Linked DNA regions of Cricetulus griseus. The protein of the gene in region 7 purifies or fractionates together with the protein of the main gene of each other region. This does not show direct contact. Links are inferred from orthologs where the notes say so. Each region holds a gene or a part of one and is shown on either strand. Other genes may lie near its edges.

Region 1 (4,283 bases), on a different chromosome or scaffold from region 7:
GTAGTTTATTGAGGTTTGTCAGGGCAAGAAGGCATCATATATTCAGTGGAGTCAATAGCAGGCGCACACCCCCCTCCACAGGATGAATGTACTGTCCACACTTCTCTCTCCTCCAGTAAGTAGTGGCCTTTGGGGCCTGGTAAGTTCTGAGCTTTGCCCATTGCTTCTTCAGGGGACTTGGGAGACTTGAAAAAGACTAGGACAACATGTCCACTAGCACTCCTGCCCCCTGAAGCAGAAACCCCAGGACATCATAGCTTTTCCCACTTTAGGGAAAGAATTCCGTGATCATGCTCGCCCATTGTCCAGGTGGCTCATCCCAGCTGTGCTGGCTCATCTGTATTCAGTGTTCCCTACTTGAGCAGGAAGTGCTACCTCCAGGAGCTCTGCCTCATGGGGGGAACTGTGAGAAAGACACAGGCTGAATGGGCTGATACCAGAGCTGGTCCCTTCCCATGGATTGGGGATAGGGGTAGGGAGAGAAACATACCCTCTGGACTCAGGCTGGACACTAGAATATGGCTCTGGGGGACTCCCTGGAGGGGCTCATCTCTGGTTGGAAGGTCCTGTGGAGAAAACAGGTCAGTTGAGAACTAGGGTGGCCCCCGCCTGACCATCACCTCTTCCCAGAACTACTCTGACCTGTGGGCTCGGGATGGTTCTGTCCAGCTGTGGAGGTGGTGGCACTGCAGCACCTGTCTGCTGGATGAACTGTTGCAGGTTGCACTGACGGAGTTCCCTGTTCAGCTCCTCCAGTTCCTGAGCCTGAGCCTGGGGGCACACAGGACCTTCAGGAACAAGGCGATGACCTTCTTTCCCACAGACAACATGCTCCCTGGTCTGATTCTATATCAAACCCCAAAGTGCCTGTGCAGCAGGTGGAGTGCTGACAAACTGGCTGTGTAGCAGGCAGGGAGTTGACAGGGGCGTAGGTCTCCTGGGCTCACCTGCAGAGCATGCTCAGCAGCCTCCAGAGCCCGGCTCACCAGGGCCAAGGTGCCTTGCATCTCCATACTATGCCGCTCCTGGATGGCCAGGTCCTGGCGTAGACGCTCAGTAGCAGATGCTGTAGCTGAAGGAGGGCCAGGGGCCTCAGCAGCCAGCCGAAGCTCTGCCTCCAGGGCACAGGCTTGGGCATCTAGGGCCTCCAGCCGGGCAGCATGCTCAGCAGTAGCTGCACTCAGCGCTTGCAGGCGTGCCTGTCCCTCACGCTCCCTGGCTTGTTCTCGTCGGAGCTCCTGCTCCCAGAAGGCCTCATGGCCCAGCTCCTCAGCATTCCTTTGTATCCTGAGTTCTAGGCCCTGCAGGTCTGCAAAGCAGTCTGGTGTGGGTCCTACCAGGGTTGTAGACTCAGGGATTGAGGAGCTGGGGACCAGTTTGGGACATCCTGGGTTGAAGGTCAGTGCTTTGTGTGGCTCACGGCCTGGTGCTGCCCATGGTTTGGGGGGCAGGCTGGCCCGAACTGGGCATCGTTCTGGGGGTGGACAGTTGTCTGAGGAGGGCCTTCCAGACAGGCTGGGCCCTGTCCGCCTCAGGACAAACTGGACATCACTGGCAAACTGTCCACAGGTGGCTTGGGCTCCCACTGGACACTCCTGTGGCAGCAGCTGCCGCTCCTTCTCCCTAAGGCGCTGCACAAGAACAAAGCGGCCTGTCTGGCCTGTGGGGGGAAAGACAGGGTCAGCCTATATCTCCCCTCTCTATCCACTTGGCTTGAGGACTAGAGCAAAAGGGTGGAGTCAACCCCACCCTCCTTGGAAGGGAAGATGGGGCTGGACTACGGCCCCACCGGTTTAGCTTCTCTGTCCCCAGGGAACTCACCTATAGCTTGGGCTAGCGCGATGACCACTTCTTGGCAGGTGGTCTGTTCTGAGACCCCACAGACCACCCGCTGGATGCCATCCACCCACACCTTCAGCTCCATGACCACAAGCTCCAAGACCATCCCTGTCCTGTGGGAAGGACAGAGACCCTAAGATCAGGACAGGCCTGCCTCCATCATGGCCTGGCCTTCCTCTTCTCTTAGCTTGCCACAACAACTGGCTCAGGACTGTGTCCCTTCAGCCCTGCCCTCCTGTGCCCAGCCCCACCCGCAGGCCACACATTCCTGGAGTGGCTGGGGAACTAGTTTGGCCCTCTTGAGCATTTTGAGGCGTCCCCTCCTGCACCAGCCTCCTCTTGCCCCACCCACCCCACTCCAGGAACAGGGCGAATCATTAACCAGGTCCAGGTTTTCCTGTCCCCCGGTCACCTGGCTCAAAGGCCACCACCCTTTTCATGCGAGCGGCCATCCCCAGGCACCTAACACCGAGCAAACGCAAATACGACGCCGTCCACAGTCATGGGAACGCCCCCTAGGGAAGGAACCCCTTGGGCCAGGAGGAGCTGAGAGTTAAGACCCAAACAGACCTCCATCTCCCAACCGACCCCAGATCTGAGCAGCCCCCCGCCAGTCCCCGGTCCGCCTCCGCAGTCCCTCCCGTCTAGTCAGCGCTCTGGGCTCCGGTGGTCCCGCCCCGCTGGGGGCACAGCCCGCCTCACGGCTGATCCCGGCCGCGCGGGATCCAGACGTCCCACTCCGCAGCCGGCAGACGCAGGTGCAGCACAGCCACCGCGCTTCCCTTCGCCCAGATCAGCTTCTCCTCTGTCGGAGACAGCTCCCTGGTGCCGCGCCCAGGGCTCAGGAAGCTCGAGAAGCCGGCACAACTCACCTGGGCGCCCGCCGGCCTCCCGGACTTAGGCGCTCCAGCGCCGCCTCAACCTGCTGTCCCAGCGCCGCGGCGCGCCCAACCTCACGGCCTCATTGGCTCCCGGTCCGCGCGCCCCGCCCCACGGTACCCCATTAGATCGGAGGCGCGTGCCTCCCGCCCCATGCCCACTGCCATTGGCGGCCTTTCTCCCACCACGCCCCATTGGCTCGTTAATCCGTCCCGCCCCGGAGCCATCCAGGTGTAGGCGGGGCCCTGAGTGGGCAGGGGCAGGACCGGGGCGCATGGGATGCTCACTGCTGATGATCAACACGGAAGCGCGTCTGCAGCTGCGTTCGCTCTGGGCTGGTTGGCCCAGGTGAGGTGTGTCCCCAGCTACAGAACGGACTTCCTCAACAGATTTTCAGTGTGACTGGTCTCCGCCCACCGAGAGGGCTCCTGACTGGAACCCTGCAACTCTGACTTGTCCCCGGGCGCAACATTCGCCCTCCCTTCATCAGCCCTGTAGGCTACGCCTCTTCAGTCCTGCTCCCTTAGCAATCTGTAGCCGAGAACACCGGGAGGAGAGGCCACGAGTGTCTCCCGCCCGCAATCCGACGGAGGTGGGGTTTAGGGGCCGGCTGACCTGATGGGCGCTGCAGCCCTGGTGGGGGAAGGGACCGTCCCTGAGGCCTGCCTGAGACAAAGACCCTGGGGTCTTTGTTTGAAGCGCCTTACTCTCCCCTCCCCCAATGGGCCCAGTGCCTTCCAGAGCAGCCCTTCTCTCCCTGAAGTGGGCCCCTGCTTTAACGTCTAACCTGTGTCTCGGGTGGGCTAAATCAAGCCAGTCCAGCCCCAAGTGGTCTGTCCCAATCACAGAGAGCTGTGGGAGCTGGTCCCCATGCCCTTGTGGCTGTGGACGAGACAAGGTAGAAGGAGCCTCTCCTGGACCTCACATGTTCTGAAGGAGAAGCAATGTCCTCCAGGGTTCCCTATTGGAACCACCATTGGAAAGAGCCCAGAGTTATGGAGATAGGCACAGGAAGATAGGCTTCCAAGGGTTAGGTAGATGGCTGTCATACACAGGCTCATTTATTGGCCAGGGTTAGTACAGCCACTCCAGTCTCTTTAGCACCATCCTCACCTGCTCACCAGCTCAGATCCCTAGAACCTTTTACATACTTAAGACACACATACATGCTGAATTCACTCGCAGGACACCAATCCCCAGTACCTACTGGCTAGGGACAGGTTCCAGGGATCTGTATAGTTCCTTGGATCCCTTCAGCTTTGCTGGGCAGGTAGTAACCTAGCTTACATATCCAAACCACACCGGCACAGAATGCACTCATGACCCTGAGTGTTGTCTTCCTGGAGGCTCCTGGTAACAGATACCCTCCCCCTCCCCCACCCCCAGGTGCAGAAATCCATGGCAACAATATAGAACACATCCCTCCCTAGGCCTTCTGTGGGTTTAGGCCTCAGGTGAGTATGGGGGTGAGTTCCTGGGTTGGAGGGACATGAATAAGAGTTACAGGAAAAGTTTAGCACCTCTGATCTTATCTCTAGGCTCAGGTCATGAGGGACAAAGAGGAG
Region 2 (3,500 bases), on a different chromosome or scaffold from region 7:
GGCAGGATATTAGGAAGCCACAAAGAGGATGTTTGGCAGGGTAAAGAATTCATGAGTAAGAAATCCAACAAGGGGTTGCCTAGGTGACTGAGTCTGTAGGTAGAGGACTGGGTCAAGTTGTTTCTTTTCTTTAGCTGAGGTTCTAAAGAGCTGCTGTGTAAAGGTTAACTATGTGGCCTGCCAAGTATGGCCTAGGATCTCATGCCAAGCCCTGAGATTTGGCTTCCAACACAGGGAGAGCAAAAAGGATATGTGATAGGTAGGGTTTTAGTTGGGGGGGGGGCGAGTGGTAGAAGAGAAGGGAACTGGGATTGGCATGTAAAACAATCTTATTTCTAATTCAAATAAAAAAAATCTGCAAAATAAATAAATAAATCCATCAAAATTTTAAAAAATGAAAGAAATGGGTGCTCCCTGAAGCTTTCTGTGGGTAGCACTATAACCCATATTTATATTGGAGGCTCCTGGGCAGTAGCATGATGACGCACAGCAGCAGGTTTTAATAACTCCAACTCTATGGTTTTAGATGTGTCCCAGCTGTAATCTGTAAGCATGCCCAACATGACTAACAGTAATCTGTGTGTACCTGAAGTTTACAGAACCATGATTAGCCTATTGTGATACTGTAAAGGGCCAGGAATCCATGTCTATCCATTTAACATACACTTTGTGGGTTCATGCTTAGCCACTCCTGGCCTGGTCATGTATAGAGTTGAAAGCTAAAATGAGTGAACCCATGTGGTTAGAAAATGTCTTTCAGGCTTTGGTCTCTGCACCCAGCCTTGGGATGCTGCCTAAATACAGATCCCTGCCCCCATTCCTAGAGATCTGATTCCAAAGACTCAGGAATCTGCATTTTACCAAGTAAGCTGGATAATTTGGGGGCTTGTAGTGCTAAGCCCATAGGAAACACTGATGCAGGTGTGTGTCCGCATGGGTACAAGAGCTCTGTAGGTGTAAAGGCCCCACACATACATGGGTGCTGTGGTTGGCTCAATGTTCTTCTCTTGATGCCGTGGAATTCTTGGTATTTTGTGTGCAAAGTAGTCCTGTATTTTCTGAAAATTGTGTAGCCAGGTCTGTAAACAGTCTCTGCTGTCTGTGACTGAGATGCCTTGACAAGCATGCATACAGTTATTAGTAGTATTTTCTTGCCTGTTGGCATTAGACCTAAGTCTCCAAGGCCTCTTCTGAGCTTTAAAGATGAACATCGTCATTCATCACAAGAGTCAGAGCAGGATATCATAGTACATGTTGTTTTCAGGGAGTTCAAATTTAATTCCATCTGACCACAAACACCTGTGTTTCTGTTATGCTAACACACTTTTCTCCCCCCAGGATGGCACGAAACAGAAGAGAGAGCGGAAGAAGACGGTGTCATTCAGCAGCATGCCCACAGAGAAGAAGATCAGCAGCGCTAGTGACTGCATCAACTCAATGGTTGAAGGTTCGGAACTCAAAAAGGTTCGTTCCAACTCCAGGATTTATCATCGGTATTTTTTGCTGGATGCCGACATGCAAAGCCTGAGGTGGGAGCCATCTAAGAAGGATTCTGAGAAAGCCAAGATTGATATCAAATCTATCAAAGAAGTGAGAACGGGGAAAAACACAGATATATTCCGCAGCAATGGCATTTCTGAGCAGATATCTGAGGATTGTGCATTTTCAGTCATATATGGAGAGAATTATGAATCACTTGATTTGGTTGCCAATTCTGCAGATGTTGCGAACATCTGGGTGACAGGACTCCGATACCTGATTTCTTATGGGAAACATACACTCGATATGTTAGAAAGTAGCCAGGACAACATGAGGACTTCTTGGGTTTCACAAATGTTTAGTGAAATTGATGTAGATGACCTTGGACATATAACTCTGTGTAATGCTGTGCAATGTATCAGAAACCTCAACCCTGGTTTAAAAACAAGCAGAATTGAGCTTAAGTTCAAAGAATTGCACAAATCAAAGGATAAAGCTGGCACTGAAGTCACAAAAGAAGAATTTATTGAGGTTTTTCATGAACTTTGTACTAGACCTGAAATTTACTTCCTTTTAGTTCAGTTTTCAAGCAATAAAGAATTCCTTGATACCAAGGACCTTATGATGTTTCTTGAGGCAGAACAGGGTGTAGCACATATAAATGAGGAGATAAGCCTTGAAATTATTCACAAATATGAGCCATCCAAAGAAGGTCAGGAGAAGGGGTGCCTCTCCATAGATGGGTTCACTAATTACCTGATGTCACCTGACTGTTACATATTTGACCCAGAGCATAAGAAGGTCTGTCAGGATATGAAACAGCCGCTGTCTCATTACTTTATAAACTCCTCTCATAACACATATTTGATAGAGGACCAGTTCCGGGGCCCCTCTGACATCACAGGGTACATCCGCGCCCTTAAGATGGGCTGCAGGAGTGTAGAATTAGATGTGTGGGATGGGCCAGATAATGAGCCTGTGATTTACACGGGCCATACCATGACCTCCCAGATAGTCTTCCGCAGTGTCATCGATATTATTAACAAGTATGCGTTCTTTGCATCTGAGTATCCGCTCATCTTATGTTTAGAAAATCACTGTTCTATTAAACAACAGAAAGTGATGGTTCAGCACATGAAGAAAATTTTAGGAGACAAGCTGTATACAACATCACCCAACATGGAAGAGTCGTATCTTCCATCCCCAGACGTCCTGAAAGGGAAAATACTAATCAAAGCAAAGAAGCTGTCTTCAAATTGCTCCGGAGTGGAAGGGGATGTGACTGATGAAGATGAAGGGGCAGAGATGTCTCAGAGGATGGGGAAGGAGATTGTGGAACAGCCCAACCAGCTGCCTGTGAAGCGCTTTCAGCTTTGCAAAGAACTGTCTGAGCTGGTCAGCATCTGTAAGTCAGTCCAGTTCAAGGAATTTCAGGTGTCGTTTCAGGTGCAGAAGTACTGGGAAGTGTGTTCCTTTAATGAAGTGCTTGCTAGCAAATATGCCAATGAGAACCCCGGGGACTTTGTAAATTACAATAAGCGTTTTCTTGCCCGGGTCTTTCCTAGTCCAATGAGAATTGACTCTAGTAACATGAACCCTCAAGATTTTTGGAAATGTGGGTGTCAAATTGTAGCCATGAACTTTCAGACTCCAGGACTGATGATGGACCTGAACATTGGATGGTTTCGGCAGAATGGAAACTGTGGCTATGTTCTCCGACCAGCCATCATGAGGGAGGAAGTCTCCTTCTTCAGTGCCAACACAAAGGACTCTGTCCCTGGAGTTTCACCTCAGTTGCTTCACATCAAAATAATCAGTGGCCAGAATTTTCCCAAGCCCAAAGGATCAGGTGCCAAAGGTGATGTCGTGGATCCTTATGTCTATGTGGAAATCCACGGAATCCCTGCTGACTGTGCAGAGCAAAGGACAAAAACTGTGAACCAGAATGGAGATGCACCCATTTTTGATGAAAGCTTTGAATTTCAAATCAACCTCCCTGAACTGGCCATGGTGCGCTTCGT
Region 3 (4,218 bases), on a different chromosome or scaffold from region 7:
TTCTTCAATTCTCTTTTCCGGGCTTCCTTTCCTAAAGAGAGGGAAAGAGACCATATACCTCAAATCTTCAACATTAACATTACCACAAGACAGCACACACTTTTTTCTTCTGAGGCTCCCCTATGCAACACCTGGATATGCACTGGCATCGGTGGCTTCGACCTGCAGACAACTGCACAACTGCAGCACTTCTAACCCTAAGAACTCCAGATGCTAAAATGTTTCTTTTCACAGAAATAACTGAACCAATGAGAAAAAGAGATTCTCAAATACCAAACTAGCGCTTAAAACTCATTTGTTTAAAAATTCCAACACAAAAAGAAAAACAATCCAATTTTATCCTGCAAGCCAACAAAGCTTGACAAGAACATGGTTTTAACTGATGTACACTCTCAACATTTTAGTCATGTGAGTTAATTTTAAGAATTCAACATGACTTCACACAACTCCCTTCTACCAATGCTGAACTTGCTTAAGCCTCGGGGAAATATTCTTTGCAGTTTTTAACTCTTCAACGTCATCATTTCACACTAATGGCACTTACGAGCTTGGTCTGTGGGGTTCATAAACTTCCCACTCTTGGTGGAGGATGTTGATCTCCGTCCCATGTTGACAATTTATATGATTTACTTCTTCATTAAAGAAACAAAACAAAAAAACGAAACCTGGAAAAAGAAAAGAACTCAGTTTTCCTGTATGTTTAACATGTCTTCCTTTTTAGAATTCCCATCAATTTCTGGAAATACCCCTCTGATTATTAATTTTGTAAGAACTTGTTCTTTGCCGGACGTTGGTGGCACATGCCTTTAATCCCAGCACTTGAGAGGCAGAGGCAGGTGGATCTCTGTGAGTTCGAAGCCAGCTTGGTTTCCAGAGCAAAGGCCAGGATAGGCTCCAAAGCTACACAGAGAAACCTTGTCTCGAAAAAAAACAAACAAACAAAAAACAAAACAAAACAAAAAAAGAACTTGCTCTTTAATTTTGAACATATAATATGGCTTTACCTTTCTTCATCACAGAAAAGCTAACATCTGTACAGTCAAGGCAACGAGACACATGAACTCTCCACATTTAACACTCTGCTATGGATTATGTAGCACTGTCAACTGAAAAAAAATTCAACTAGGAGTTTGCACTTGGAATGTGGACTGGGCCATAAAAGACTATCTCAAAACAAAACCCAACTAGAAAATGTTTTAATAATGTGATACAAACCTGGAGTGTAAGAAGTCAACAGTTCATTTCCTACACCCTTCCCCCTTTATATATAAGGTGAAGTCAAAGAGAAGTAGTGATAATGACTCTAGGCTCAAAGACAAATATATGTTCTCTACTTTTCTCCTTGGCATAGGCACTGTTCATTCAAAACCCCACAGATGGTAAAAGGTAATTAATTTAAACATACTTAATTTAGACTCAATACCAAGTCAAATATGACTCATGACTTTCAAGCAAAAAAAAAATGAATAGAACTTCCCAATCTTAATATTAACATACATACTTTTCTTACTAACACATATGACTCTTGATTTATTTTAAGGTAACTAAAAGTGGCAGGTCACTGTAGGAAAATAATTTCAAAGCTTGTATTAGTATCAGTTCTTCTATTCAAAATGGATGAATGTTAACTTTAAAATTTAACCTTTCCAATAATACAGTAAAGAAATGTTAGCCGTTGAAACGATGTGACATTTGGCTACAGGTATTCCCCCTTTGCACACCCAACCAGTCGACTTTCTTTCTTAAAAAAGACACCTTTGAAGGTAGGGAATAGGTAGATCCCGAGACAACTTTAACAGACTCCCACAATTGTAATTCCCTTGGCTCCTCTGTGAAGACTTCGTAGGGTTTTTTTTCTGTTTGTTTTGTTTTGTTTTTCTTTCTAGTTAATGCTTCTCTCACCAAGGGATCAACTGCCCGGAGACTATTTCACTATAAAAACGTTTCGTTATCCGAAAAGAGGAGGGGCAGGATGATGGGGAGAGGAAGGGAAAAGAAGGGCATTGATTATAGAGAACTAGAAGAAAGGAAGAAAGGAAGGAAGGAAGAAAGCAAGCAAGCAGGCACGGATACAGACTTCTATAGCTTTCTATTTTATATATTCGGGTTCACCTTTTGACCTTTTTTTTAATTTTTCTTTGCCCCCTCCCACAACTGAAAACACGGCAGCCGCGAGCCGCTGAGAATTTTTCCGAGACCGCACGGTCTTGGTCTACAAGCGCGACTCTCGTCAGCGCAGGGGCGCCCGGGAGAGGACGGGGCCGCGGGCCCCCGACAGCGCAGGAGCCGGGGCCGCTCGCCCGCCCGCTGGCCCGCTCGCCCGCAGGCCGCCGCCGCCGCAACCGCCGAAACCATGGCGACGGTTGATACCGACTCGAGCGGCCGCACGTCAAGCCAAGCGGCCGGCCGCCGCCAACGGGAAGCGGACCAACGCAGCGGGCGGGCCGCGCCCGGCCGAGCGCCCGTCGGCCGCCGCAGCACCCCGGCCCCGGAGCCCTCCCGCCCGCGGCTCCCGCGACCCCGGCCCGGCCCGGCGGGGGGAAGAGCGCGGCCCCCGGCGCTGGGGTCTGAAGCGGCTGCGCGGGCCCCGGAGGCCGTGGCGGGAGCCGCAGCGTCGCGACCGCGCACACTTACGCCACTGCGGGGCTCCCGGGTCGGCCAGGCCGGGTAGCGGGCGGTGCCGGCGTGCTTTGGGCGGCGGGGCCTTCACCTCTGCCTCTCGGTCAACCACCCAGCCACCGCCATCTTGAAACCTCGCGCCCCTCCGCCATCCTCGCGTCACTTCCGGCACCCGCGGCCGACGCTCTCACCGCGTTGCCCAGGCCCGGGGACTATCGAGAGGACACAGCGTCGTCGGGGCCAGAGTTGCTTCCGCTCCGATCCCACGTCCGATTGGCTGTCTGTCGGCCAAGAACGCCACCCCCTCCCCCGCCCCCGCCCCCTCCCGCCTCACTCCGAAGCGTCGTAGATTGACACTGGTGTCGCCCAATGAGAACCAAAGAGGGAAGGTGCCCGTTGATTGGCCGATCGCTTTACCCCGCTCGGAATTCTGACGCGGTTTCCGTTCTGCGCAGACGTCAGGTAGCGGCGCGTCGCCCGGGCGGAGCCGCGTGTTGCTTGGTTTCTGTCCCCCGCGGTGTGCTGGGGTGTGACTGGGTGCTGTCCTTCGGGAAAGCCTCCGCGGGGAGACAAGTTCCCGGATGGACGCCACGGGCGCCGAGTTTAAAGCGCCCGGCGCTCCCGGAAACCCAGCCTGTGCCGCGCCGAGCACAAAAGTCATTTCCTAGCGAGAGTCACTCATTTGTCATCTACACACGGGAAACAAAAATGTCCTGGGAGAGAAACCGGGTGCGCGCCGCAGATGTCCCCGGAGAAGGCGGCACGTGACGCTCCCGCTCCGGGGCTGCTCGTCCTTTGTGATGTCACTGCACCCACGGAATGATTTCCCCGTCGTCTGCGTCCTTCCTCTCCCTTCACACCCCGACCCTTAAGAGCCTCCCCACCCTCTCTTTCCCCCTTCAAGGAGAGACACTGGCTATGAGATCTCCGTAAAGCGCGCGCGTGGTGGTTTTTCAGCTTCATCTGAGGACCCTGCGCAGACAAAAGTTATAAGAGGGATTTTTTGACATCAGGTATTTCACAGCTATTGGTAGAGGCGTCTGCCCATGGGTAGAATGTTTTACGTTGTGGCCCCGGACGCTGTGGCATCAGTCGCATACTTAGTCTAAGCTTTGTTGCGGCCCAAAGAAAAAGTTAAATTTTGAGACAGGCCCCTTAGGAATCCCCGACTTGCTTATTCCATCAGTAGACCTCCATCTCCCCATCCTTCTGCCTCGTTGTCTTGACTGATGAAGTTAACGGGCATGAGCCATCACACACCTGGGTGTCGTATTAAAAATCCCTGGTGTCTTCTTAAATTTGATTACTCTGTGAGTGTCAGCAATAGCAAGATCTAATGGTTCAAAACTTACAAATCAGGTAGTAATAATAATAATAGTGAAAAACCCTGAAGGTGACCCAAGTTGTGAGAAGTTGAAACTAATTCATAAAAGCAGCGATTACAAAAAAAAAAAAAAAGTACATTTGAAAGAGTCATGTGGCTAGTTAAAATTTTTCATCTACTTGTAAGATTTTTGACAGATACTGAGTATTTTATTTCAACAACTTTTTTTTTGTACTCAAAAAAACAAAGCAACTATAACAAGGACATTCTCAGCA
Region 4 (4,113 bases), on a different chromosome or scaffold from region 7:
CCAACAAACCCATAGATGTGGAGCTGCCCAGCATTTTAGAGGCCCAATCCCTGCCCCAGGGTTTCCAAATGGCACATGGAGAAAAATTGTTATAGAATTGTAAGACAATGCCTGCTCTCTTGGAATCAGACTTAAGGCTTGTTTTACACACACACACACACACACACACACACACCCACCCACCCACCCACCCACCCCCACCTACCTTTCTGGCCTACTTCTCTCTTTGCCTGCCTCTGCATTACATGCTGGAAGGAGATGAGCTACTTTTCCCTGCACAAACGACCCTGGAATCTTGAGTTAGTACTGGAACAAATTAAGACTCTGGGGACTATTGGGGCAGAATAATCGTATTTTGCATTGTAAGGGCACAAGTTTTGGGACTAAGGGGTATAAAGCTATGTTTTAGTAGGGTTTGTCCTCTCCAAAACACACATTGAACTTTGACTGTCAAGTGACAGGGATTTTTCTTATCTTTTTGAGACAGAATCTCATGTAACCCACACTCAAATTTACTTTGAGTAGATGAACTTGAACTCCTAATTCTCTTGCCTCTACATCTCTCTCAAATACAGGGACTGGTCTACAGAGCTAGTTCCAGGACAGCCAGGGCTACACAAAGAAACTATGTCCTGAAACAAAATAACAAAAACAAACAAAAAAACTGTTTAGATTATGTGCATGTTTGTGTGTCTGTGTGATAGCATGTGCACTCAAGTGGAGTTGCCTTGGAGGCCAGAACAGGGCGTTGGATTCCCTTGAGCCAAGGTGATGGGGAATTGTGAGACAAGCAACATGGATGGGTGCTGGGAATCAAACTTGGGCCTCTGCAAAAGCCATCTCAAGGGGCCTTTACCAGCATTTATTTGTTTGTTTGTTTGTTTTCTTCAAAACAGGATTTCTCTGTATAGTCTTGGCTGTCCTGAAACTAAACTAGCTCTGCAGACCAAGCTGGCCTTGAACTCAAGAGATCCTCCTGCCTCTGCCTCCCAAGTGCTAAGACAAAATGGTGCACCACCATCACCAAGCCCATAAAATAATTTTTTTTAAAACTCTCATTGTTTTATTTGTCTTTCTGTCATGTTTGTTTTTACAACTGTTTCACTCTGTAGCCCAGGCTTAGCCTGGAATGGACATGGTAATCCAGCCGGATTACAGGTATGAGCCATCACACTCGGCTGTCTTGTATTTCTAGGGATCTTTGACCAAGTTGAAGATAAGGTCTGTTTCATTTACCAGTTTCTCTGTGTTCAGCAGAGCCTAACACAAGACAGACCCTCAATAAAAGTATTAGCCACTATATTGGAGGCTACCTCCAAATTTCAATGCATTTTACTTCTCTTAGAACACTTATTTTCTGCCTCGAAGTAGAATTATGAAAATCCCCCTTTTGTCCCAATAGATATGCTCTTTGATAGGGCAGGTTTTAAACTCTTTATTCGGCTACCTTTACCTGACTGTACTGAGTGTTCAACAATTAATTAACACCCTCCCATGTCCTACACTTCAGGGCTCTCCCATTTGGCCCACTAAGCTATATCCCTAGCCTCAATTCTTTTCATTTCAATTGTGTGGTTTTTTTTTCCTTCTACTATCGATTAAATACTAGTCCCACGATTAACAAGGCACGGTTCTCATACCACAAAGGGCTTTCTGATTAGTCAGACATATCCCGATGTATTGGGGTGGGGGCAAACTTAGATTAGAAAAGGGTTTCCGGTCTCTTCTAAAAAGTCAATCTCCACTCCGAGAACACAGTGAGCGAGTTCGAGGCCAACCTGGGCTACTTAGTGAGATCATGTCTCAAAAGACCAAACAATCCTGGCCCGGCTTAGTGACACAGGCTATTAATCTCAGAATTCGAGAGGCAGGAGCAGGGACAAGCGGATCTCTTGAGTTCCAGGCCAGCCTGGTCTACACTGTGTATTTCAGAAAAGTCAAGACTGCATAGAGCGACCCCGTCGCAACTTCCACCCCCGACCCCAAGGCCAACCAACCATCAAACAAACCAAACTAAACCACAAAGCCAATCTACTAAAGACTCCTTAGTTAAAATAGTTACAGAAGGCCGGGCGTTGGTGGCTCACACCTTTAATCCCAGCACTCGGGAGGCAGAGGCAGGCGGATCTCTGTGAGTTCGAGGCCAGACTGGTCTCCAGAGCGAGTGCCAGGATAGGCTCCAAAGCTACAGAGAAACCCTGTCCCGAAAAACCAGAAAAAAAATAGTTACAGAAGACTGAAGCGGTCGAGTCTGAGTCACGTGGTTTTGCAGCGCGTGGGCGATGGTGAGCGCGGTTTTAGAGTCACAGACTAAACAATTCCCCGACTAATAACCTCTGGGGTTCGTTACTAGATGCAACGCCGAAGCAGGCCCGCCTCCCAGTAGCTCGGAGACGGGGGAAACGACGACCCCATCACCTTGGGGCCCTGGACACCCTCCCAGCTCCCGCAGCTCAGGGCTTTCCCACTGGGCTCCCGCTGCAGCCTGCGGACGTGGCTCTCCTCTGCACACCCACCTCCGCATGCCCTAGCAGGGGTCGTGATCGCCTCCCTCCGCGAGTGCGACACGGAGAACGTGGAAAGGGCTGAGGGCCGGTACAAGCCACAGACCCCGTTTCCTGCACGAACTCGACACCGGCCGAGCTGCCCTCGGCGCTCGCGGATGCTCACCTGTTCGGCCGACACCGCCCCCTTCCCGGTGCTGCTCCCGCTGCTCTTGCTCACACGACCGCTGCTGTCCGCCATCTTCGCCACCTGCGAGCTTTCCGGCCTGCGCACTCCCACTGCGTCACATCCGGTCTGGTAGTTACCACCCACTTGCCCCTGCGCTTCTGGCTCCAGGAAGCTCCTCTGGTCGACCCTGCGAATGGTTTTGGCGGTGGCTTCATGTAGGACCTACTCCCCAACCCTGCCCGCTGCGGTGAATTCCACCTACGGTGCTTTAACTTGTGCAACAGAGATTCTTGCCCCAGGGAGAGGCGGGGAAGGGCGCGCTAATCAGAGGGCGGGGTCCAGGGTTGGGATCTGGTCCGGAGCCCCCTGCCCACCTCGAGATGGTGGCGATCTAGGGAGAGTGAACTTGCCTTTCGAGATACTGCTGTAAGGGGAGAGATACGCGTTGAGCCTATAAAGCTGTGCAGGTGGCACAGCCGAGAAGAGAGAATTGGGGAAGCGAGGAAGGTTCCATGAGATGACTTGAACCGCGGAAACGTTTGGCAGAGGAAAGGGGCTTCAGTTTTAATGTGAGATCACTGGAAGTTGAGGTATTGAGGCTCGGATCAGTCTCCTCTCCCATGTTTCCCTTTTACGACCTCTTTCCACAGCTAATCGTGTGGGGGGATGTTTTTGAAGCCTTGGGGGAGGGGATTACTGGCCAGGCCTGGAAATGACAGAGAATTCTAGAAACATACTACTTGAAGGAAGGTTAGGTGTCCTGATTTTTCACCCTCTTCAGGCTGGGCTTCATCACCAGGCCTCCTCGCCAACTCCTGTCCCTTTTGTGTACCGGAAACAGATTGCCTCGAATCTCGGTACTTTGTACTCAGCCCAGGTAACATATTTTCTTGTTCTCTGCCTGGCACATTGCCGCTCAATCCGTGTTTATAACTGCAGTGTGGGGAGACAAAGTTGTCTGCCACCCACCAAACATTTAATAAGTGAACACCAGTAGCTCTGGGGTTATTATGCTCTGAAAGAATGGAAAGAAGTCACTAGGGATGGTGGGACACACCTGTAATCTCAGCACTTGGGAAGCAGGCAGCAGTTTAAGGTCATCCTCAGCTACATAACAAGACCTGGCTGGGCTACAAAACACCCTGTCTCAAAAAAGAAAAACATCTAGGTCTGTGGCCCCATCCCACTTGAGCCTCTGGGTTTCTCCGTGCTAGCAAATCTGAGAACACTGCCCGTGCTATTCACAGGCCCAGAGCTATGGAGGTGTCCTCCTCAACTTCCTGGGAGCTGCCCCTGGTGGCTGTGTGCCAGGTAACATCAACACCAAACAAGCAAGAGAACTTTAAAACATGTGCTGAGCTGGTTCTAGAGGCGGCCAGACTGGGTGCTTGCCTGGCTTTTCTGCCTGAGGCATTTGACTTCATTGCACGAAATCCTGCC
Region 5 (3,500 bases), on a different chromosome or scaffold from region 7:
TTTGACTTAATTTTGAAGTGTGCACTCTGTAGAAGGGAAACCCCAATAAAGACTCTAAAGGCTCCCTTAGAGCTAAGTACCAAATAGGACTCCCTGGGATTCACTTGGAACCTGGGGCACAACTCAAGTGTCAATAGATATGAAACAAACAAGCATTAGTAAGGACTACTTTACTCATGGAAGAAAAGAATAAAGTTAAATTGATTAGTTAACTGAGGACTGAATTATTTACCAACTAAGCTTTTTAGGGTTAGTTATCAAAAGTTCAAGTTATTCTCTGCAACAGTCATTAAAAAAATCTTCTTTTAAGGTGAAGTAAATTAAAAGATTAGAGGTGTAGGGAACTCATGCAGGCTAAATCAAAGAGGAGAAGGCAAAGCTGACCAAGCCATCAGACCACGCCTGATGCTGACAGCGGGGGAATATACCTCGTGGGCGACTCGGTAACGTCTGACAACCTTCAAAGAAAGGAGAAAACAAAAAGTTGTAGGAGAGGAAAAAAAAATGGATGAAGGTGAAAAAAAAAAAAGAAGAAGGAAAAAGCAGCAGTGAGAGGCAGGCAGCAAAAAGCCAGCACATCAGCCAGCCCTTGTCTACAGTCTGTGGGGGAGGGGGGAGCAGCTGGGGTGGCAGCAGCAGGGGCTTGAGAGTTTGAAGCACATACAGAGCAAGGAAAAGCAAAGGCTTACAGCACTGCAGCGAGCCAGGATGCTCTCAGGGTGGGACTAGAGCAGAGGCAGCACCAAGATGTGCATAAGCTCAGTGCAGCCTCCTGGCTAAGGCTACAAAGGGCAGGGGAGAGAGTCATGTGACTCTCGACATAGGTTTCTACAGACTATGGTACTCTCTCTGGGCCAGTAGCCTTTGTTCACTTGGAAGGTAATTGGATCAGGGCAGAGGGAAAACTATATAAATTTACACCAAACACCCAGGGCAGCCAGACCACTGGCCCCTGGGCACAGATGGTCACTACCATCTTTCCTTCTCTTACCTATTTTGGCTCCTTTCTTCAGTAGAGTGACTACAACGGAAGTGTTCCTGCAACCCACTGCCCTATCCAAAGGACGCATCCCACTGTAGTCAACATGCTCAATCATGGCCCCATGATCCACCAGGAACTGGACCTAAGCAAGGAACAAGCAGCACTGTTAACAGGCACAATGGATACAGCTTGCCCCTTTTCAAACTGCCTGTCTGAACCAGAGTATAAAAATCACTTCAGGTTTTCAGTAATGGTTTGTATATTTCTGTCCTCCACCAATTATAGATTTGGAGAATCTATGCTGGAATCATCGAAATAGTACTTCACATTAGGTCCTAGATAGTATTACTGATGAATAACATCCCCTGTCCTTACTCTCCTGGGGTCTGTTTAAAGGTACTCACCACCTCAGCATCGCCATAGAAAGCTGCCAGGTCCAGTGGGGTGCGGCCATTCTTGTCAGCATGATCTGTAGCAGCTCCATTATCCACCAGAGAACGTACTACTGAGAGATGGCCCTTCAAACAAGCCCAGCTAAGGGCTGTCAACCCTTCTTTGTCCATTAGGGCAATAGAGGCACCTATAAGAACCAATGGGAGTCCCGTGTTAACAGGACTGAAGACACAAACATCTGTAGCAGAAAGGAATGCTGATACATAAGGTATATATGCTGTGAAAGACATATATAGCTTTTACTTCTAGATTTTTCTATTTTGAGATTGACCCTGGCTGGCCATGATGACACACACCAGTAATCCCAGAAGTAGGGAGGAGCAAGCAGGAAGATCATGAGTTTGAGGCTAGTTTGGGCTACAGAGTGAGCTCAAGATCTGTCTGAGCTACATCTTCATCTCCTGAGTGCTGTGATTACAGGTGTGTGCCAGCCCAGTTTGTGTGGTACTGGGGATTGAACCTAGAGCTTTGTGTATGCTAGGCAAACACTCTGCCAGCTGAACTTTATTTCCAAGCCCCAAATTACAACTTACTTAAAAAAAATTAAAAACACGTAAATGTTCCTATTCTATAGTATTCTACACATAATGTAGGCTAAATAATTTTTGTTGACTTAGTGAAAATTCACTTCAGTGAAAAAAACAAACAAAAAACCAAATAAAATACCCAAAGAAAATATAAAAGGAACCAGTTCAAAGACCCTGGGTAAGGCAGAACAAACCTCTGGAGTCTATGCCTAATGAGTGTCTACTGGCATGTGGCAGATATGGTAGTTACCTAAGGGTCATCAGTGCTGAAGAGGCCCTGCCTTTTCTGTTGGATATAGTTTGTTCCGGAATATTGCTTCATGTCACATCTTAAGAATCTAGGTCTACTCCCTCTGAGTACTCCCTCTGAGTGCTGCCCCCCCCCCCAGCAATAATAAAGATAGGTAACATGAAGTCAGACTTGTTTGGTAACTTGGCAAGAGTTACATTGTACCCTGGAAGAGCAACTCTTGATTTACACCTTTGAGTCTGTGGCTGTGGAAACAAATCTTCCTTGAAGGGACAGAGCTGAAGAAGCCACAGCAAATCTCTTAGGAGAAGCCTAGCCTTCCTGATCCTTGGCTGTTCAGGTCTGGGCACAGTTCTTCAGAGGCTGGTTTCCCTTGAAGGAACGTGCATATATGTATAGATAATTATATGTATTTAAGTCTGGTTTATTAACAGTGTAGGCTAACTGGAATGATGTCATTCATGATTTCAAATCTCCTCACTACCCCCTGCTTGATGCAAATCCACAGGCTCCCACTAGATGGTGCTGTAGTGCCACCAATGATGAGCCATTTCTTACTATGACGGCTTGGGACACCACTACTGCATAGGGGCTGATCTTAGAGCAGTCAGCAGGAGCTGGGATGCTTTAACATTGTTCACCTGCAGGGAAAAATACACTAGCCTCATAGAGGGAACCTCCTTTAACTTGTTTCCCATTTACCAAGGATGGGAGTATGTTGAAAAATGCCACAAGGAATTTATTATAACTTAGTAGTAATATCCCAATTCTCCAAAGAGGGTCTCATTGCTAGCAAGTCTTCTTTTTACCTCCTTTGGATTCAAGAAAAATATTACCTGTGCAGGCTGACAAATTGATACCCAGATTCACCTGGTGTGTTGGTATACTCCTTTATTTTTTTAGAAGATTTTATTTATTATGTATACAGCACTCTGCTTCCATGTATATCTGCACACCAGAAGAGGGTACCAGCTCTCATAATGGATGGTTGTGAGCCACCATGTGGTTGCTGGGAATTGAACTTAGGACCTCTGGAAGAGCAGCGGGTGCTCTTAACCTCTTTGCCATCTCTCCAGCCCCTGTATACACCTTTAAATTCCAACACTTGGCAGGAAGAGGCAGGTGGATCTGTGTGAGTCTGAGGCTAGCTTGGTCTACAAAACACATTCCAGGGCTACATAGTGAGACCCCCCCCCCCCCCACACCACCACAACTACCACCAGCAGCAAATCAGCCTCTAAAATAGATGAATATTTACTGGGTATACATTAAAAAAATTGAAGTTTGG
Region 6 (3,933 bases), on a different chromosome or scaffold from region 7:
AACGCGCCCTTGGAGAATGGGTTCTTTTCTCATTGGGGCCCCGTAGCCCGTAGCCTAGGCTGGCCTGGAACCTGTGACCGTCCCTTGCCTGGGCCTTTCCAGTGGGCCCCGCCCTCCCTACACCTCTGTGACATTGGATGTTTCCGCGGGCTGTCAGGGAGGACAGACACCCCATCACAGCTGCTCCCCAGGGAGGGCCGCTCCAGCCAGTCCCGGGAGAGCGCCGGCCGTTCCTTCCGCCTCTCCTGTCCCCAGGCCCAGCGGATCCCTCCCGCGGGCGGCCCCGAAGCCAGAAGCCAGCGAGGGACCGCAGGCAAGGCTACCTCAGAAGGCTCAGGCCCTCAGGCCCCAGCGCCTCCCACAATGCCTCGCTGCGCAGTCCCCTACGGTGTCCGCGGGCGGGGGAGGCGGCTGTAACCCGAGCGGGTGAGGGGCTAACCCTGCTGCTGGCCCGCAGCCCGCGACCCAGAGAAGGGGCGGGGACACCGGCCCTCGGCCCGCCTCCCCGGCCCTCGGCCCGCCCTTCCTGGTCCTCGGCCCCGCCTCCCAGGCCTTTGTCCCGCCCCCAGATCTTCCACCACGCCTCCCAGATCGTCTGCCCCGCCCCTAGACCCTCCGTTCCGTCTCCCTGACCTCTCGCCCCGCCTCCCAGGCCCTCCGCCCCGCCCCTAGACCCTCCGTCCCGCCTCCCAGGCCCTCCGCCCGCCCCTAGACCCTCCGCCCCGCTTCCCAGGCCCCCCGCCTCGCCTCCCAGGCCCCCCCGCCCTAGAACCTCCGTTCCGCCTTCCAGGCCCTCCGCCCCGCCCCTAGACCCTCCGGCCCCGCCTCCCTGGCCATCGGCCCCGCCTCCAGGCCCTCCGCCCCGCCCCCAGGCCCTCCGCCCCGCCTCCTAGGCCTCGCCCCGCCCCTAGGCCCTCGGCCTGCCCTCCGGGCCCGGAGCGGCCTCCCCGGCCCGTGCTCGCCGCCCTCATCCCGCCCCTCTGCGGGGCTCGGCGGGCCCCCGTGGTCCCGCCCTCCCTTCCTCCTCTGCGCCGCTGTGCACCGCCTCCCGCCCCGGCCAGGCCGGCGTGCGCCCTCCCTCGCGTCTCCTCCGCCCGCCGGCTCAGCCCTCCGCGCGCGCCGCCCTGCGGCCCGGGCCTCCTCAGCCCCGGCCCCGCCGCTCGCTCTCCGCCGCCGGGTCGCCGCGGGGCCGCCTGGGCCGCCGCCGCCGCTCAGCCAGGGCCGGGCCGGGCCTCCGCCGCGGGCCGTGCACCCGGGCGGCGGGACGGGCTGCGACGCGCAGTAAGTACAACTTTCCCGGCCCGCGCCCCCGCGGCCCCGCTGTCACCCCGCGCCCGCGCCCCCAAGTTGGCGCTGCCCGCCGGGGTCGCCTCTCCCCGGTGTCCTTGGCGAGCGAGTTTAGAGGCCACTTTTGCGGGGAAGGGAAATGCATGGCCGGCCCTTGGCCGTCCCCTGAGCTCTCAGACGGGAATCGGATGCTCGCCCGGAGGGAGAGCCTTCCCTCTGGAAGGGGAAAGTGGCGGTTGGCAGGCTTCTGCATTTTGTCCGAACCGGGGCCGCCTGGCCTCGTCGCGCAGCCTCCCTCCCTCCGTCCCGGGTGGCCAGCCCCTCCGGGGAACCGAGCCGCCCGCCGGGAGGGGGCTTGCAAAGTTCGCCGCGTCCTGTACCCCGCAAACTCGCCCAGGGCCCGGCCCGGGGAGGCTCAACTTGAGGGGTCGTGGGCTTGGCGTGCGAGGCCGCTGCGGGCGGCCCGGCGGTGGGCGGCGGAGACCGGCTTGCGGCTGGGGTTGCGTCGTCTCTGCACCGCCGAGCCGCCCGCCCGCCCGCCCCGGGTTGCCGGACCACTACTTGGGACATAATTGCAGGTCAGCGATGGTCCTAATCTTCGGAGGTCTAGGAGGAAATATGCGGGGCGCAACACACTTGAGCGTGTGAGGTCAGCCCTGCCAACACATCAAAGCCTGGCGTGAAAAGAAAAAAAAAAAAAAACTCTCCAGCCCGCTGACAGCAGGGACGAACACTTAGGGACTTACCGTAGATTGGGGCGCAGAGATTTTTCATGACATCTGTTTTGTTCCAGGGAAGCATTTAAAACCTAAGAGACCTCTGCTCAGTTGTAGGCTGTATGTGTGTGTGTAGGTGTGTGTGAGGGGGTGTTAAGGTAGTTTTTCTTTTTTAGAAGTCTTTCATCTGTGGTTGCCAGGGGTTTGGATCGTGCTATGGAGGCTAAGAACCGGCAGGTTTCCTGGTGTGTGCTTTTTGTTTTTTGTTTTTTTTAAACCTATCCTTTGCTTGAGGCTGTCCCTAATGTCTGTCAGTTCGCTGCAGGGGGAGGTGCTGGTGAACACAGGAATCAGGGCTCCGGACAAAACTGCACGCTCAGTTTGGGAAGTGGTTTATGCTATATCTTTTTTAGTGGTCATATGAGTGGTTTTTCTGATCTTACTTAAATCCACGGGGAACTTCCCCCAAACCTCAAAGTTACACACGACCGGTACTCCATTTAAGAAGACTGGATGCAGTTTGATAATTCTTCTACCTGTGGGTCTGAAGGGTCAGAGGCAACACAGCGTAATTTGCAATGAAGGTGATTAAATCTTTTCAACAATCAGTCATTTGCCCCTCCCCCTAAGCGTTTTTAGATGGTACTTTCCGAACTAGATTCAATTGGCCATAATGGATGAGATCTTTGTAGGTGATCAAGCCCCTATTCTGGGCTTCTGGTGCTTGGGGGGACGGTAGAGAGTCCCTGTAGGGAGCCAAGCCATGGGACTGTGCACCTAGGAAAGGTTTTCAGTTAGTGTCAGTGTCCTGGAGAGAAACACAGTTACAGAGGTGTCCAAGTCATTTCAGTGGTCACAGTTCCCAGATTGTGCAGGTTTTAGAGATATTTGGAAATTGCAGATTTAAAATCCTATAGGATCGTGGTGTCATTTTTCTTTGCATCTTCTTTGCCTTTTCAATTTTTTTTTTTTTAAGCTTGTGACTCTTAAATTTGGAATCCTTGGTGCTTGGTTTTCATGGCCCTTTGTATTCAGAGGGGTGTATTAGTGCTTGATCTGAATGCCTGGCATTCTGAGAAATGATTAATTCTTCAGAGTATCCTGTTTCTTACTGAGTCTTTTGCTGTTGTATATAATAACTTGGGAGTAAAATTGTTGTTTACTGCAGGATATCATTGTTCTTTTTCCTTGTAGTTAATTTTTGGCAGATGGTTTTGTCAATTTATAAAACGTTGAGAAGGAGCTGGGCGTTGGTGGCGCACGCCTTTAATTCCAGCACTTGAGAGACAGAGGCAGGCGGATCTCTGTGAGTTCGAGGCCAGCCTGGTCTCCAGAGCGAGTGCCAAGATAGGCTCCAAAGCTACACAGAGAAACCCTGTCTCGAAAAACCAAAAAAACAAAAAAACAAAAAAACAAAAAACCAAAACAAAAAAACATTGAGGAGACCCAGATAACTTGCAAGTATTCAAAACTTGGGAGATTTCCTTCTAGGTGGAGGTGAGGTGGGGCTGCCTCATGGAGATGAAACATTAGGAAATGTAAATAATGAGCCAGCTACTCACTTTCCTTGGAGGTTACTTTGTTCCAGTCCTAAGTAGGTTTCGGAATTCCGGAATTCCCGTTCCCTAGTGTTCTGTGGACTGGAAGAGATACCTTTTGTAGCAGCTAGCCAGGCTTGTCAGGGATTTAAGGATGTGCCCTGCTCCTCTGGTTCTGTGATCTGTATTCACAGCCTTTAAAACGCGTTACCACCGCTAACAGGAAAGCTACGAGCAGAGCACCTCCCAAGTGCCGGGCACATCTCTGTCAACAGTGGCAGCATCTCCCATGTCCCCAGAGCTTACTTGGTGGCCGTCCATTGGTCCATTGTAGTGTTTAAACACAACCCCCTACCCTCCTACCCCCACTTCCTTCCTTGAGGGCAGTAACA
Region 7 (3,500 bases):
CCTTGGGGAGTTCTGTGGAAGGCAGAGTCTGCAGTCTGGGGGTGGGGTGGGGTGTGTGTGCTTTGGGCTGCCTCAGGACTTCCATGGCTACACTGACATTCACAGCTGAGTGACCTACTACACTGAATGTGAGAAACAGCCCAACCCCAACAACTGGAGATGATATTCTGGCAAAGGAGCCCCATGTGGTGGCACATATCACCTCTAGCCTCAGCGCTCAGGAGGCAGAGGCAGGTAGGTCTGTCTATTAAGTTAGAGGCCAGCCTGGTCTACATATGGAGTTCTGGGCCAGCAAGGGCTACATAGACTGTTCCAAAAAAGCCATCTGCAGACCCCAAAGCACTATCTATAAATTGATGATGCAACACATCATTTGCTTTCACTTCTCAAAGAATTCAACTACACCTAAATTCAACACTGGGGAAAGGTCCTGTTATTTTTCCTTCCTTTGGAAAGAGCCTGCAAGGACTCCCATGGGACAAACACAGGTCACTGGAGAAGAAAACAGTCCACCCAGGAAACAACAGGGAGCGCTGTTTCTCTGGAGTCATGAAAAGCCGCCACTGTCTCACCTGGAAGGAGCACATGAGGGTTTCATCCACACTCATCATGGCGCCTGCATTGTCAAACTCGCCACAGTAGTTGGGTGCAGAAAACAGAGTGACTAACTGCCTCTTTGCAAAAAACTCATACCCATCTTCAACCACCTGCGGAAAGACAGTGTCAGTGTGAGTGGCTGCAGGCTGAGCTGTGCCGCTCTCGTTCCCCACTGAGCTTGGCCTCCTGCCGCTCTCCCCAGAGGCACACTGTGTGGCAAGCCATACCTACCCACCAAAATCAACAAGGAGAACCTGCTCACACACATGCTCTAAGTGTACATGTAAAATTCAAAATCAATACCTGATGGGCTCTACATATAAGATCCAAATCATGCTTATGGAGAAATTTTGCAACCACTTCTGCACCAAATGTGAAGGACACTCCTCTGTCATTTTCACCCCAGCCTAAGACATCTTTATCGGGGTCAGACCACAAAAGATCACAAAGAAGACCTTGATCTGGTACATCAGTTGGTCTCATAATTCGCCGAATCTGCTCCATAGATTGAAGATCTGGTGATAAACCTATTCAAGGAGACAGGAAAGAACACTGAAGAAGCAGAATTGTTAGAAGAGGCTGTCTGCAGAGGCTGCTGCTGCCAACAGCTGCACTCAAACCTGTGGCTCTTCTGTTTACTTGGTTTTGATCAAAACAATGCAATAAAACTCTGCCACCAAATATGCACAAAATTTACTGTACTGGTGTGCAAGGCACAGGGACAGTCACCTCAACACAGAGCACTGTGAAGTCAACATTCAGTACCCTGAATCCACACCTCTCCCGACAGAGGGCAGCAAGGTGGACACACCAGGTGCCACCATCAGTCACCACATGCAATGGCTGGGCCCAGGGACATCGTTCAACTGTGAGGCAGCTCCAGAGCCTCTGCTGTCCACAACCTCCAAATCTACAGAGGACACAGAGTAGACTGTGCCTTAATAAAGCCTGTGGTTTTGATAGCTGCTTAATTTCCAGTATCATCGCCTTGCAATTTCTGTATACCTCACACACAGCATAGCCATGAAGCAAAGCAAAACCACTTTTGGAAGGAACCCCAGTCAGAAGGTCCAAGAAAACACACAGCTGAGCAGACATACTAGGGTTCATTTTATATTAAAAATACGACCTATTTTCAACCTGCCCTCACACTTGACCCAACTGACAGCTGCTATGTCCCCATGGACAAGTCCTAGCGCATGCACAACAGTCTACCTTTTAGAAGGGGTGGAAATTACACATACCTCCATGACAGCAGAAAATCTTCTCATCCACGATGGCTGCTATCGGTAAGCAGTTAAAACAGTCTGTGAACGTTTTCCACAGCTTAATGTTGTATCTTCTTTTGCCTGTAAGAATGCAGATGGTCACCCTACTGTTCAAGTAACTGAAACATGCTATAGCATTAAGAGGCCTTGCAGCCTCAGGAGGGCTGGGGTACAGGACACCTGGAGCTGGTTTATCCAGAGGCAACAATAATACATTCCCATACAGGGATTATTCTAGCCAGGGGACACCTCAGGTCGGCCACAATTAGTGGGAGCACCCATTCTATTCGAAGCCTCATCTGCTTTGTCTAATCTTGACCTAGAGGGAACTTCAGGGAATCCTGAAGACAATTACCGCCACATCCTCAAGTGCCATCATCTCTTCCTTTAGGGACTTGAGCTCTGGCACTCGCTGCAACCAGACAACCAGACAGAACCAAAACCCCTACTTCAGGAGGTCCAGGGACTCTGGGCATGCAGCTAGCTTAGCGTGGGCACAGGGATGTTCAATCCTATCAGTTAGTTCTCACTTACCCACCACCCCAGAGAATCAAGGCTACAGGGTTATGCCCCCTCCACAAATGTCAGGGGGTCCCCCTTAAGCACCATTCTGTGTGATAATTATGTTTTGAATTACCCCCCCCCAAAAAAAGAAAAGAAAAGCTGGGTGGTGGTGGCGCACGCCTTTAGTCCCAGCACTCGGGAGGCAGAGGCAGGCAGATCTCTGTGAGTTCGAGACCAGCCTGGTCTACAAGAGCTAGTTCCAGGACAGCCTCCAAAGCCACAGAGAAACCCTGTCTTGAAAAATGGGGGGGGGGGAGATATGATTAAAAACCCCATTCACAAGTCTTAGCAACTATCAAATTCTCTTAATTGGCTAAGGTCACAGACTCTACCTTTTTTAATGGGACACAGGGACATCTAAAGGTCTAGACTCACTCCTTGGAGTCACAGCAGGGCCTAACTACAGCTTTCCCAATCCATGTTTCCAGGCTGGGCAAACCACACTCCCTCCCTGTAGAGGCCTGGACTCTCCCCGGAGACACAGATTCCTTGGATAATTCTGGAAACTTAAAGGAACACAGCCAACACCTCCAATTACCAGAGGCTAAAGGTACTAACATCAATGTTCAGACTGAGGCCAGATGGCCCTGACCCCACTTCAAAATCCATCTGGAGTTGGGCATTGGTGGTGCACACCTTTAATCCCAGCACAGGCGGATCTCTGTGAGTTCGAGGCCAGCCTGGTCTACAAAGGGGTTCTAGGACAGCCTCCAAAGCAATACAGAGAAACCCTGTCTCGAAAAACCAAACCAAACAAACAAACAAAATCCATCTGGTCCTGTTCTCCTTTCTCGGCTGAACCTGGCGTCTGGGCAGTCACTCACTGCCTTTGCTGAGGGCTGGATTAAGGTTCTGTGTCTGAGGTGAGAAGACCCATGCTGAGTGCCCAGGCTTCCTGCAGCATTCTAGGACACATGGCCAACCCTCTACAGACTACATGACTTTACTACAAACCGCTGCATGTGTGTGCCACATGAGCAATGCTAAGTCACCAGAGTCCCTTAAACACCTGCCACTCTAGCCCAAACCCCCATGGCAGAAACAGACCAAGGATAGTGCAGCCAACAGCTC

What was found.
Region 1: the proteins of Ppp1cc (region 7) and Rassf7 purify together in Homo sapiens (affinity purification with mass spectrometry; 4 studies listed by BioGRID and IntAct, counting the BioPlex papers as one, with this or other methods). This does not show direct contact. The link is inferred for Cricetulus griseus from reciprocal best matches to the Homo sapiens genes PPP1CC and RASSF7.
Region 2: the proteins of Ppp1cc (region 7) and Plcl2 purify together in Homo sapiens (affinity purification with mass spectrometry; 3 studies listed by BioGRID and IntAct, counting the BioPlex papers as one, with this or other methods). This does not show direct contact. The link is inferred for Cricetulus griseus from reciprocal best matches to the Homo sapiens genes PPP1CC and PLCL2.
Region 3: the proteins of Ppp1cc (region 7) and Wbp11 purify together in Homo sapiens (affinity purification with mass spectrometry; 4 studies listed by BioGRID and IntAct, counting the BioPlex papers as one, with this or other methods). This does not show direct contact. The link is inferred for Cricetulus griseus from reciprocal best matches to the Homo sapiens genes PPP1CC and WBP11.
Region 4: the proteins of Ppp1cc (region 7) and Pfdn2 purify together in Homo sapiens (affinity purification with mass spectrometry; 4 studies listed by BioGRID and IntAct, with this or other methods). This does not show direct contact. The link is inferred for Cricetulus griseus from reciprocal best matches to the Homo sapiens genes PPP1CC and PFDN2.
Region 5: the proteins of Ppp1cc (region 7) and Tanc2 purify together in Homo sapiens (affinity purification with mass spectrometry; 3 studies listed by BioGRID and IntAct, counting the BioPlex papers as one, with this or other methods). This does not show direct contact. The link is inferred for Cricetulus griseus from reciprocal best matches to the Homo sapiens genes PPP1CC and TANC2.
Region 6: the proteins of Ppp1cc (region 7) and Rassf8 purify together in Homo sapiens (affinity purification with mass spectrometry; 3 studies listed by BioGRID and IntAct, counting the BioPlex papers as one, with this or other methods). This does not show direct contact. The link is inferred for Cricetulus griseus from reciprocal best matches to the Homo sapiens genes PPP1CC and RASSF8.

The regions. Positions count from the first base shown.
Region 1 is NC_048596.1:59,964,269-59,968,551, forward strand, and holds the start of Rassf7 (ras association domain-containing protein 7), read right to left. Parts: upstream 2,801-4,283; 5' UTR 2,712-2,800; exon of another isoform or gene 1,953-2,711; 5' UTR 1,946-1,952; coding exon 1,822-1,945; intron 1,661-1,821; coding exon 948-1,660; intron 772-947; coding exon 643-771; intron 567-642; coding exon 372-566; 3' UTR 1-371. UniProt on the Homo sapiens protein: Negatively regulates stress-induced JNK activation and apoptosis by promoting MAP2K7 phosphorylation and inhibiting its ability to activate JNK.
Region 2 is NW_023276806.1:252,582,684-252,586,183, reverse strand, and holds part of Plcl2 (inactive phospholipase C-like protein 2), read left to right. Parts: intron 1-1,338; coding exon 1,339-3,500. UniProt on the Homo sapiens protein: May play an role in the regulation of Ins(1,4,5)P3 around the endoplasmic reticulum.
Region 3 is NC_048601.1:12,199,008-12,203,225, reverse strand, and holds the start of Wbp11 (WW domain-binding protein 11), read right to left. Parts: upstream 2,801-4,218; 5' UTR 2,635-2,800; intron 666-2,634; 5' UTR 609-665; coding exon 545-608; intron 32-544; coding exon 1-31. UniProt on the Homo sapiens protein: Activates pre-mRNA splicing. May inhibit PP1 phosphatase activity.
Region 4 is NC_048598.1:21,547,853-21,551,965, forward strand, and holds the start of Pfdn2 (prefoldin subunit 2), read right to left. Parts: upstream 2,801-4,113; 5' UTR 2,746-2,800; coding exon 2,671-2,745; intron 1-2,670. Other genes in the region: Nit1 (deaminated glutathione amidase), read left to right, coding at 3,241-3,242, 3,455-3,550, 3,921-4,113. UniProt on the Homo sapiens protein: Binds specifically to cytosolic chaperonin (c-CPN) and transfers target proteins to it. Binds to nascent polypeptide chain and promotes folding in an environment in which there are many competing pathways for nonnative proteins.
Region 5 is NC_048600.1:118,854,338-118,857,837, reverse strand, and holds part of Tanc2 (protein TANC2), read right to left. Parts: intron 1,563-3,500; coding exon 1,387-1,562; intron 1,125-1,386; coding exon 992-1,124; intron 459-991; coding exon 429-458; intron 1-428. UniProt on the Homo sapiens protein: Scaffolding protein in the dendritic spines which acts as immobile postsynaptic posts able to recruit KIF1A-driven dense core vesicles to dendritic spines.
Region 6 is NC_048601.1:3,906,481-3,910,413, reverse strand, and holds the start of Rassf8 (ras association domain-containing protein 8), read left to right. Parts: upstream 1-1,133; 5' UTR 1,134-1,281; intron 1,282-3,933.
Region 7 is NC_048597.1:102,022,847-102,026,346, reverse strand, and holds part of Ppp1cc (serine/threonine-protein phosphatase PP1-gamma catalytic subunit), read right to left. Parts: intron 1,947-3,500; coding exon 1,842-1,946; intron 1,125-1,841; coding exon 901-1,124; intron 708-900; coding exon 573-707; intron 1-572. UniProt on the Homo sapiens protein: Protein phosphatase that associates with over 200 regulatory proteins to form highly specific holoenzymes which dephosphorylate hundreds of biological targets.